Linked DNA regions of Saccharomyces cerevisiae S288C. Changing the gene in region 1 together with any one later gene gives a genetic interaction. Each region holds a gene or a part of one and is shown in the gene's direction. Other genes may lie near its edges.

The links. Genes that interact genetically often act in the same process or in processes that back each other up.
Region 2: mutations in BAT1 (region 1) and RCR1 together harm fitness more than expected from each alone (negative genetic interaction), as found in Saccharomyces cerevisiae (2 studies listed by BioGRID).

Annotation. Positions count from the first base shown.
Region 1 is NC_001140.6:514,545-520,724, forward strand, and holds BAT1 (branched-chain-amino-acid transaminase BAT1), read left to right. Parts: upstream 1-2,987; coding exon 2,988-4,169; downstream 4,170-6,180. Other genes in the region: kinase-regulated stress-responsive transcription factor SKN7, read left to right, coding at 1-56; SET5 (S-adenosylmethionine-dependent methyltransferase), read right to left, coding at 361-1,941; CRG1 (S-adenosylmethionine-dependent methyltransferase), read left to right, coding at 4,893-5,768; YHR210C (aldose 1-epimerase superfamily protein), read right to left, coding at 6,168-6,180. UniProt on the Saccharomyces cerevisiae protein: Mitochondrial isozyme of branched-chain-amino-acid aminotransferase, involved in the biosynthesis of the branched chain amino acids (BCAAs) leucine, isoleucine, and valine.
Region 2 is NC_001134.8:243,078-247,047, forward strand, and holds RCR1 (Rcr1p), read left to right. Parts: upstream 1-2,828; coding exon 2,829-3,470; downstream 3,471-3,970. Other genes in the region: COQ1 (trans-hexaprenyltranstransferase), read left to right, coding at 1-1,153; GPI-anchor transamidase GPI18, read right to left, coding at 1,289-2,590; UGA2 (succinate-semialdehyde dehydrogenase (NAD(P)(+))), read left to right, coding at 3,933-3,970. UniProt on the Saccharomyces cerevisiae protein: Regulates chitin deposition in the cell wall.

The DNA of each region.
Region 1 (6,180 bases):
TGGGTTCCACTCCGCAATTACCACAATCTACACTTCAAGAAAACCAGCTATCATAAAATTTTACAAATAGCCTTGCGTCTAAGTTAGCAGAGGACATTCTGTATTCCTGAGGAGTTTCTTTATATTTATTATGTGATCTTGGAGGATTATCATTTTCTTTTCGTTCAATATTTTATCCCCTTCAGTTATTTCCAGTTATCTACATCAAAATGTTTGAATTTTATTTCTTTCTGCCGCTCTCAAATTCACTCTCATTTCTTTTTTCTTTGTTTTTCTTATATTTACTATATATATATATATATATATATATATATAGCCAAAAACAATAACAGACACAGTAATTTAGTATGCGTTTATCTCTTATCTTTCATCCACTGCGACCGAAACGTTTGAATCGAATCTGACTGAGGTTTTTCTTACATTCCCTTGTGTATCAACAGTTTCTGGTATGTCTAATTCAAATTCTTTTCCATTCTTCAGTATTTCTTTTAAATCTGGCTGGGCCTCTCTCATGGAAGATTTACGATTACCAGTTGATTTCTTAGAGCCATCTTCACTACTATCATTGGAATCTATTTTTTCTACTCCTAAATTAGCATCCGCATTCTTTTTCTCTAGATTTGGAACTCTTTCAAATGTAGATAGTTCATTTTGACAGCGGTCACACTGGCATAAGAAGCCCCAGTTAACTCTTAATTCCCTACGCCTCAACCTCACCCCATGTAAGGGATTGACGTACGTAATACGTATTTGTTCCCCCTTCTTTATTGGTTTCCTTGCATGCAACCTCAGTTCCTCATGTTCTTCTACTTGCTCAATATAGGCGTTTGGTTCACAATCATGGTTTATGAAGGAGATCCAATGATATACCTGGCCGTTATATTGATTGATATTGAACGTCCCGATCATGGTCAAAAATTTCTCGAAATCTATTTCTTCAGAAGCTTTTGGAAATGCACCGCAAAATAATTCGTAGCACTTCTCCCAAACAGTCTCGTCATCAATATTCTTCTCAACGCCCTTTTTGGTACCATTATCAGATTCCTCTTCAGTATGTACAGTTGTACCATTCAGTAAACTAAACGTACTGCCGATACCGCTGGCGTCTCTTAATTTAATTCTTTCCCTTTGTGAGATGCTTGCCAATTTTTGCCATTGCTCTTTGACCTCTCCTGTAGTATCCAAAAGCATGGATCCATATATAAGACCAACTGAAAAGGCAGCGGTAAAACAATATTTCTCACAGTAGTTAACAAATCTTTTCCAATTACCAGCATGAAGAATGTCTATTCTATTCGATCTCCATGAGTGGTATAAAAGCTCATGTAACGACGCATGTGCTTTTTTACATTTTTCACTGCACCAAATAGCTTTGCAAACTTCACAATCCAAATAATGGACCATAATTTTGTGCTGGGTCAAATCATATAGCGCCTTACCACATCGAGCACATGCCTTTCCATTAGATATTAAAAAAAGCTTGTCCAGTGGTGGAATATATACGATAGGTTTATTTTCTTTCAGGATGATTTGGCCCTTGGAAAAATCTCTTTTAGCGAAAAGGCCCCTTCCATGTTCGTCATCAATAAATTTCACTTCGACCTTAGCATCAGAATCTAGGGCTTTTGGAAAATGTATTTTATCTTTATATAGAGAAACGGTCTCTAGATCTGTGTCATAAAGATGGTGCTCATTTAGAATTTTTCGAAAACGAGAAGCACTCAATTTCCACGATTGATTTCTTTCCGTAATCCTGTCATAAAGATGCTGAATCGTAGCGTCTTCAGTTCCGGGCTCTTCCTTCCATAACAAAACTACGTCATCACAGATCTCTTCCTCTGTGGGAGTTATCTTTCGAAAATCAGAGCCATTTTCTGTACCATTATGCACTGCAGATTGATCGCTATCGTTTAAGGTTCCTATTTTGATAGTCAATGTCATTTTTGTGCCACTTTTCGTTATTTTGTATCAGTGCACGCTTGGTTATTTACCTATTTAGCTTCTATTGTTATATGGAGAAGTTCCCCATGATTATGATATCAAGAAAGAAAAAGAAAAAGAAAAATAATACGAAAAAAAAAATTACGAAGCTAAAATAAAAAAAATTACGGCAAGGAAAGGGTTTACTGATAAAATTTGTTATCATTCTTGCTAGTCAGTAAGAGCATATCTGCTCAAGTAGACAAGGGAAACTATCGCAGGTGGTCCGGAAAGTACTTGACAATCAAATGCTCGTCTGAAAGCCAATGAGGAAAACTTGTAGACTGTACTAATTTTTCAAGAGAAAGAAAGATACCGTATGTTTGACTATTCTAACGAGATTTATGCTACAAACTCCTCGAGAAGCAAACTGAGGTAGAATTACCCACCCACAGCGCGATAAGTCACATTGGCGCCCTGGACTTGACGAATACTCCTATCAATAGTAAGGCTCGCAAACCGCCCGTCCATATCAAGCCATTAAATTCTGTTATTATCCTTAAAAGTGAAATGCGCACCACAAGCTTGATGGCATTTCCTTCTGCACTTCTCAAATTGATAGCATTGCCTTGCGAGCAGTAGATAATTTAGATAAAGTGTATCTTGCCAGGGCCTTCCCAGGCATTAACTAGATAATGTGTTCTTTTTTAGCTGAACTGTAAAGCGTAAATGTTAACGCTGGATAAGTACCGCGTGTACGGTTGATTGAATGATCTTACTGATAGAGGCCAGGCGGTTGATACTTTGTGCAGATTTCATACCGGCTGTCGCTATTATTACTGATGAATTGGCTCTCTTTTTGTTTAATGGCCCATCCGATCCATATTGCCTTCTTATGACTCAAAATTCTATTGTGTTTGCCGGTACCGGCCTTTAAGCTTTGAAAAAAAAAAAGCATCTGAAAAAAATGGCACTATAAAGAGAGCTAGTGGTAACAACTACATGTTTTCGTTAGAATAAATCACCCTATAAACGCAAAATCAGCTAGAACCTTAGCATACTAAAACATGTTGCAGAGACATTCCTTGAAGTTGGGGAAATTCTCCATCAGAACACTCGCTACTGGTGCCCCATTAGATGCATCCAAACTAAAAATTACTAGAAACCCAAATCCATCCAAGCCAAGACCAAATGAAGAATTAGTGTTCGGCCAGACATTCACCGATCATATGTTGACCATTCCTTGGTCAGCCAAAGAAGGGTGGGGCACTCCACACATCAAGCCTTACGGTAATCTTTCTCTTGACCCATCTGCTTGTGTATTCCATTATGCATTTGAATTATTTGAAGGTTTGAAAGCCTACAGAACTCCTCAAAATACTATCACCATGTTCCGTCCGGATAAGAACATGGCCCGTATGAACAAGTCTGCCGCTAGAATTTGTTTGCCAACTTTCGAATCTGAAGAATTGATCAAACTTACCGGGAAATTGATCGAACAAGATAAACACTTGGTTCCTCAAGGTAATGGTTACTCATTATACATCAGACCAACAATGATTGGTACATCCAAGGGTTTAGGTGTTGGCACTCCCTCCGAGGCTCTTCTTTATGTTATTACTTCTCCAGTCGGTCCTTATTATAAGACTGGTTTCAAAGCCGTACGTCTTGAAGCAACAGACTATGCTACAAGAGCTTGGCCAGGTGGTGTTGGCGACAAAAAATTGGGTGCTAACTATGCCCCATGCATCTTACCTCAACTACAAGCTGCCAAAAGAGGGTACCAACAAAATCTATGGTTGTTCGGCCCAGAAAAGAACATCACTGAGGTTGGTACTATGAACGTGTTCTTCGTTTTCCTCAACAAAGTCACTGGCAAGAAGGAATTGGTTACCGCTCCATTAGATGGTACCATTTTAGAAGGTGTTACCAGAGACTCTGTTTTAACATTGGCTCGTGACAAACTAGATCCTCAAGAATGGGACATCAACGAGCGTTATTACACTATTACTGAAGTCGCCACTAGAGCAAAACAAGGTGAACTATTAGAAGCCTTCGGTTCTGGTACTGCTGCTGTCGTTTCACCTATCAAGGAAATTGGCTGGAACAACGAAGATATTCATGTTCCACTATTGCCTGGTGAACAATGTGGTGCATTGACCAAGCAAGTTGCTCAATGGATTGCTGATATCCAATACGGTAGAGTCAATTATGGTAACTGGTCAAAAACTGTTGCCGACTTGAACTAATGATAATGAAGGTAAACATCCCCTCCCCCCCCAAAAAAAAAAAACGAGAATTCCTCTCAGAGGATCTGTTTTTCTCTCACTTTATTCACATAGATACATACTTTTTTACAATTCCTGTTGAGTTTATTTATTATAAGAAATATTGGATTACTATTATTATTATAGCTTATGCAAGCCATTGTGCGGCTTCTTACGCTTTTTGAAATTGTTGACCTAACAACTTGGCACATTATTGAATTTCATAGAGACTGCTTGTAATTTAGTTGCCAAGGTATCTCGCTGGACTTTACATGTAAAATGAATGCGGCAAGATACCCAAGAGAGTTGATTATGCCAAAAAAAAAAAATCTATAAGGATATCCCTGGTATTTTCTGAAGAATAAATTCTAGCGTAGTTCAGAAGAGGTGCAAGTACAGTATGAATAATGGTATGCCTTCCATCATCGTGGCATACAGGTTCAGGCATGAAGAGATGATTATGTTCCCTCACCGGTCCATAATCCTGATTTAAACAGTTCATTAGTATATGTTCAGCCAACACAACAACGAGAAGCTTTGTAGTGAAAGTTTTCCACGATCTATATTTAGCATTCTAATTAGCGGCCCCAAGGGAACGTATATAAACATAAACAAACGGCACGAACTAAAGGGGCAAATTCAAGTTAACCCTTTTACACTCAGTACATCTTCAAAGCCAGTCTTCTGTCAATGGAAGAATCCAGAATGCCTAAAACTAGTTATTTAAACAAAAATTTTGAATCTGCTCACTATAATAACGTACGTCCCTCTTACCCTTTATCTTTAGTCAATGAGATAATGAAATTTCACAAAGGCACACGCAAAAGTTTGGTTGATATTGGATGTGGCACAGGAAAAGCAACTTTTGTCGTTGAACCCTATTTTAAGGAAGTGATTGGGATTGATCCTTCTTCTGCTATGCTTTCGATTGCTGAGAAAGAAACAAATGAACGTAGATTAGATAAAAAGATTAGATTTATTAATGCGCCTGGTGAAGATTTATCCAGCATTCGACCAGAAAGTGTAGATATGGTTATTTCAGCAGAAGCCATCCATTGGTGCAATTTAGAAAGGCTGTTTCAGCAGGTTTCCTCTATATTACGAAGTGATGGAACTTTTGCATTCTGGTTTTATATTCAGCCGGAATTTGTGGACTTTCCCGAAGCCTTGAATGTATATTACAAATATGGATGGAGCAAGGATTATATGGGTAAATATCTGAACGACAACCAACGGGAAATTTTGTTGAATTACGGTGGTGAAAAGCTACGTTCTTTATTGTCAGATCGATTTGGAGATATTGAAGTCACAATTTACAGTCCTTCGGACCCAAATGCATCAACAGTAACGGCTGAAAACAGTCAGTTTCTCTGGAGAGCAGCTATTACTCTCAATCAATTTAAAGAGTTTGTGAAAAGCTGGAGCATATACACTTCTTGGGCTAGAGATAATCCCTCGAAACCGGATATTGCCGATATATTCATTAACGAGCTCAAAGAAATCTGTCATTGTGAAGATTTGAATGTACCTTTAAAAATAGAGTGGTCAACGTTTTATTACTTATGTAGGAAAAGAGAATGAGGTTTACTAAATTAAAAGAAATATATAAAAAGCTGATTTTTTTCTTTTTTTAAATATTTCCCAAATGCTAATAAATATTAAAATATGGCAAAAAGAAAATAAGGTGTTGTTGCGCAGTTGGGAGTAATTTAAAACCGTCAACATATGCTCTAAAAATTTTATTGGCTCTAAATTCCGACCTCTGAATGTAATTATGTTTTAAAGCGATACGTAAACTTGTTACTGTTAACATTAAAAGATAATGCAATCATGGTAACATAATAAAGTCTCAAAAAATTCTTAATATTAACTATAACATATGCACTTCAGAAAGCTGTTTCCGGATCATATCTCATTATAAAAAGCTCAATTTATAGAAAAATAATGCGACAGTGCAAAGTAAACAACTAAATTTGGTGCCTACACCGCAAAA
Region 2 (3,970 bases), on another chromosome or scaffold:
AGTGTTGTTGTTGTCAAGAGCACTTTCTGAAATTCCCATGACAGAAAGAAATCACTTGAAAATTGACAAGTCGGATGTTCCTGAGGACCCAATTTACTCTAAACCTAGTCAAAATCAACTATTTCAACGTCCTGCAAGTAGCATATCCCCACTACATATTCTTCACGGTATTAAACCACTAAATCCCTTGACAAAAGGTCCTGAGCCTTTGCCAGAAGAAACTTTTGACAAACAAAGAGGGATTTTACCCAAACAGAGAAGATTAGCAGAGATTGTAGAGATGATACACACTGCGTCTTTACTTCATGATGACGTTATTGATCATTCTGATACAAGAAGAGGAAGGCCAAGCGGAAATGCTGCCTTTACCAACAAGATGGCCGTTTTGGCGGGTGATTTTCTCTTAGGGAGAGCAACAGTGTCAATTTCAAGATTACACAACCCCGAAGTCGTAGAACTAATGTCTAATAGTATTGCGAATCTTGTCGAAGGTGAGTTCATGCAACTGAAAAATACTTCCATTGACGCGGATATCGATACCATCGAAAATGGCCATAAGCTACTTCCGGTTCCTTCTAAAAAGCTTGAAGTTAAAGAGCACGACTTTCGTGTTCCAAGCCGCCAACAGGGGCTGCAATTATCTCATGATCAGATTATAGAAACTGCATTTGAATACTACATACACAAGACCTATCTGAAGACTGCTGCTTTGATATCAAAATCTTGCAGATGTGCTGCTATATTATCTGGGGCATCACCTGCCGTTATCGACGAATGCTATGATTTCGGTAGAAATCTAGGTATATGTTTCCAACTCGTAGATGATATGCTTGATTTTACTGTGTCTGGAAAAGATTTAGGGAAGCCATCCGGCGCGGATCTAAAATTAGGTATTGCTACTGCTCCAGTCTTGTTTGCATGGAAAGAAGACCCATCTTTAGGTCCACTAATTTCACGCAATTTTTCAGAGAGGGGTGATGTTGAAAAAACTATTGATTCTGTGAGACTCCATAATGGTATAGCGAAGACGAAAATACTAGCGGAGGAATATAGGGACAAGGCATTACAAAATCTACGGGATTCTCTTCCTGAATCTGATGCTCGTTCTGCCCTAGAGTTTTTAACTAATAGTATACTAACAAGAAGAAAGTAAACCTTGAAATTTCAAATAAAGGGTGAAGAATAAAGAGAAAATGAAGAAGGTCATAGTGTCGCATTATTCTATATTCTATATGTAAATAGTTTTTATATGTTTTTAGTAAAAGAAGAAATATACAAGCATTAAGGATCAGGCTGGTGGTAAAAAAGCTGCAAATAGGATAGTCTGTAAAGGTATCCAGAATGCCAACCAGTATATGTAAAACTTGACTATCTTATCGTCACCTTTCGGATTTTCCATTTTTTTTGGATCAGAAGTTTTAACCAATCTATCAGCCAAATACCAAAGGTGCAAGGGTAAAAAGGAGGCTATACGATTCAGAATTTGGACATGGGCAAAAAAGCATACTATGACGACCAGTGCTCTGGTGATCCATACGAGAGCCTTCAAGTTATAGGAGGGATAAATTTTGCTGAAATATATGGAGGAATAGATTAAAATAATAATATTTGGGACAGCAAACAAAAAGTTTGGGATGTTGTTTGGGGTCCAGTATTTCAATAACCCAACTCCCCAATAATGACTCTGAATGTAGGAATATAAAGAAGTTTTCGTGATAAAAATGCTTGAAAACAATTGAGATTTACACCATTCACCCCTTTGAGGACAAAATGTCTTATATGGTAGGTAATATTGTTGATATAGTAGAGCAGAAAACATTAATGATCCTGATAATAGTGGGAAACATATTGCTTTTACAAACTTCCTGTTCTTTGTTAGTTCAATAAGGTCAAAAATAAAGTAAATCCCTAACAAAACACAGTTTGAACGATTCAAGGATGCTAAGGTAAAGCAAGCCATGCTGATAAAGGAGTAAGGAAACCAATATCTCCACGAAATATCGAATTGACCCAATACGGGCACGGAAATGGAGCATTCACGACTCCAAATACCAACAAATGCAAAAAAAAAAGATAATGGTTCAGAATATATGCTTGTTAAAAATCCAGCGGCACTCGTTAAGAAAAACAACAGAGATGTTTTTTTAGCGATAGTTCTAGCAAACTGTGATTGCCTTATATTTTGGCTGAAAATTTTTTTTGTTAGAAAATATAAAACAATACCTGACAAGTAAAATAAAACATTTTCTATTGCAACTCCAACCCTTAAGGCATGGTAGATGCTATCGTTATTACTTTTAATAAACAGCCTAACGAAAAAAGTCCACAACTGAGAAAACGCGTATTCATGCTCAAATTGAGGTTTTCCGTTTTTGGAAGTTATGTTCTTGATAAAAAAAACACTGTCCCATGATAGTAGCTTATTCCAAAAATACTTGTTCCAATAACTGTTGATTTCAGAGGGAGAAGAACATAATTCGTTTAATAAAAGTGATGTTGATGTATCAAACTGCCTAATTGGAGTCAAAAAAACCAGTAAATACTGTATTGAACGGAATAATACAAAATAAAGTGTCAACCCCACAATCATATTTTAATTTAGTCTTATTCCGCCTCCTCTCTCGAAGCCTCTCTTTTATGTCTTTTTTCGATGATGAGGCTTACTTTTTTTTTCAACTAAGCCTTGAAAAAAAAAGTTTGATTTAAAAGGGATTTTCTATTTTAAGTATTTAAATGACCGACAGGAAGCTCATGCAGAAAAGGCACCTGTAATAGCTTATTGATCATTCCAATAAATAGGAAAGTATAACTCGAATTAAGAATAAGGAATGGGACTTATTTCATACGAAAATGAGGCGATAAACGAGGTGAAAAAGGCAGATAACCATCACGTTAGCAAATTTGTGACTAGTTACTATGGGCCATCATCGTCGTCATGGCAGTCAGGAATATGGATTTTGTTTGTGCTGTTTGTTGCCGCAGTAATCCTTATAATACTGTTCACTTTTGTAGCGAACAGAAGGAGACGAAGGATGGGGCGTGCTCCCATTAGAGGTACGGCATGGTTGACACCGCCTTCATACAGACAGTCTCAGCAACAATATACTGGGACCGTTCAGCAACGGACAGATGATTATGTTCCTGAGTATACAGAAACAGCGAACGAACATGATCTTGGATACTATGACCAGCGGGGCGAGTTTCACCCCAACGATAAGGCTGCATACGTGGCCCCCCCGCCATTGGTACAAGAATGTTCATCAGAATCTGTTAATTCTTTAGAAAGACCTCCCGCTGCTGTAGTTCACCAAGCTAACTCTTTAGATACGGATTACGGTTTAACAAGGCCTAGCAATGGGCGCGTTCCAGCTGTAAGTGATACGGTGGAGCAATTGGAAAGGCTTCCGGGCGGGACTACAACGCAGGAAATTAACCCACCGGAGAGGGCAAAGGTAAATGCAAGGTCATGAACTGAATCTTTTTTTCCGGCTGTCCTCTTACAGTTGAGTTACAATATTTTGCCAGAAATATTTACATTTTTTTACCCAATCTCTATAATAATTATTTTAATTCCTAATCCGCTTCAGGCCCGCGGTCGTTGAAGTGCTATAGTTTATATTCAGTACATTGTCTTTAATCTCTCAGTATTATTTTATCAATAGTAAATACTTCAAGTCCATCGCACGGCGTGGTGGTGATAAAGGGAAAATGCGCGCGGGATTAGCAAAGGCGGCCAATGGATTAAGGGTGACAAGATAGCACCACATCACATCACATCACCATCAGTAATGGAGAGGAAATAGGGTATAAATACTCGTCAGAGATCAATAGATATTATTTCGCAACGTCCTTTATTGTTCTGTTCTTATTTGATCAATTAAGCTAGAAAACCAGCTACATTAAAAGCAAATTTTACAAACTACTATTTCAACATGACTTTGAGTAAGTATTCTAAACCAACTCTAAACGA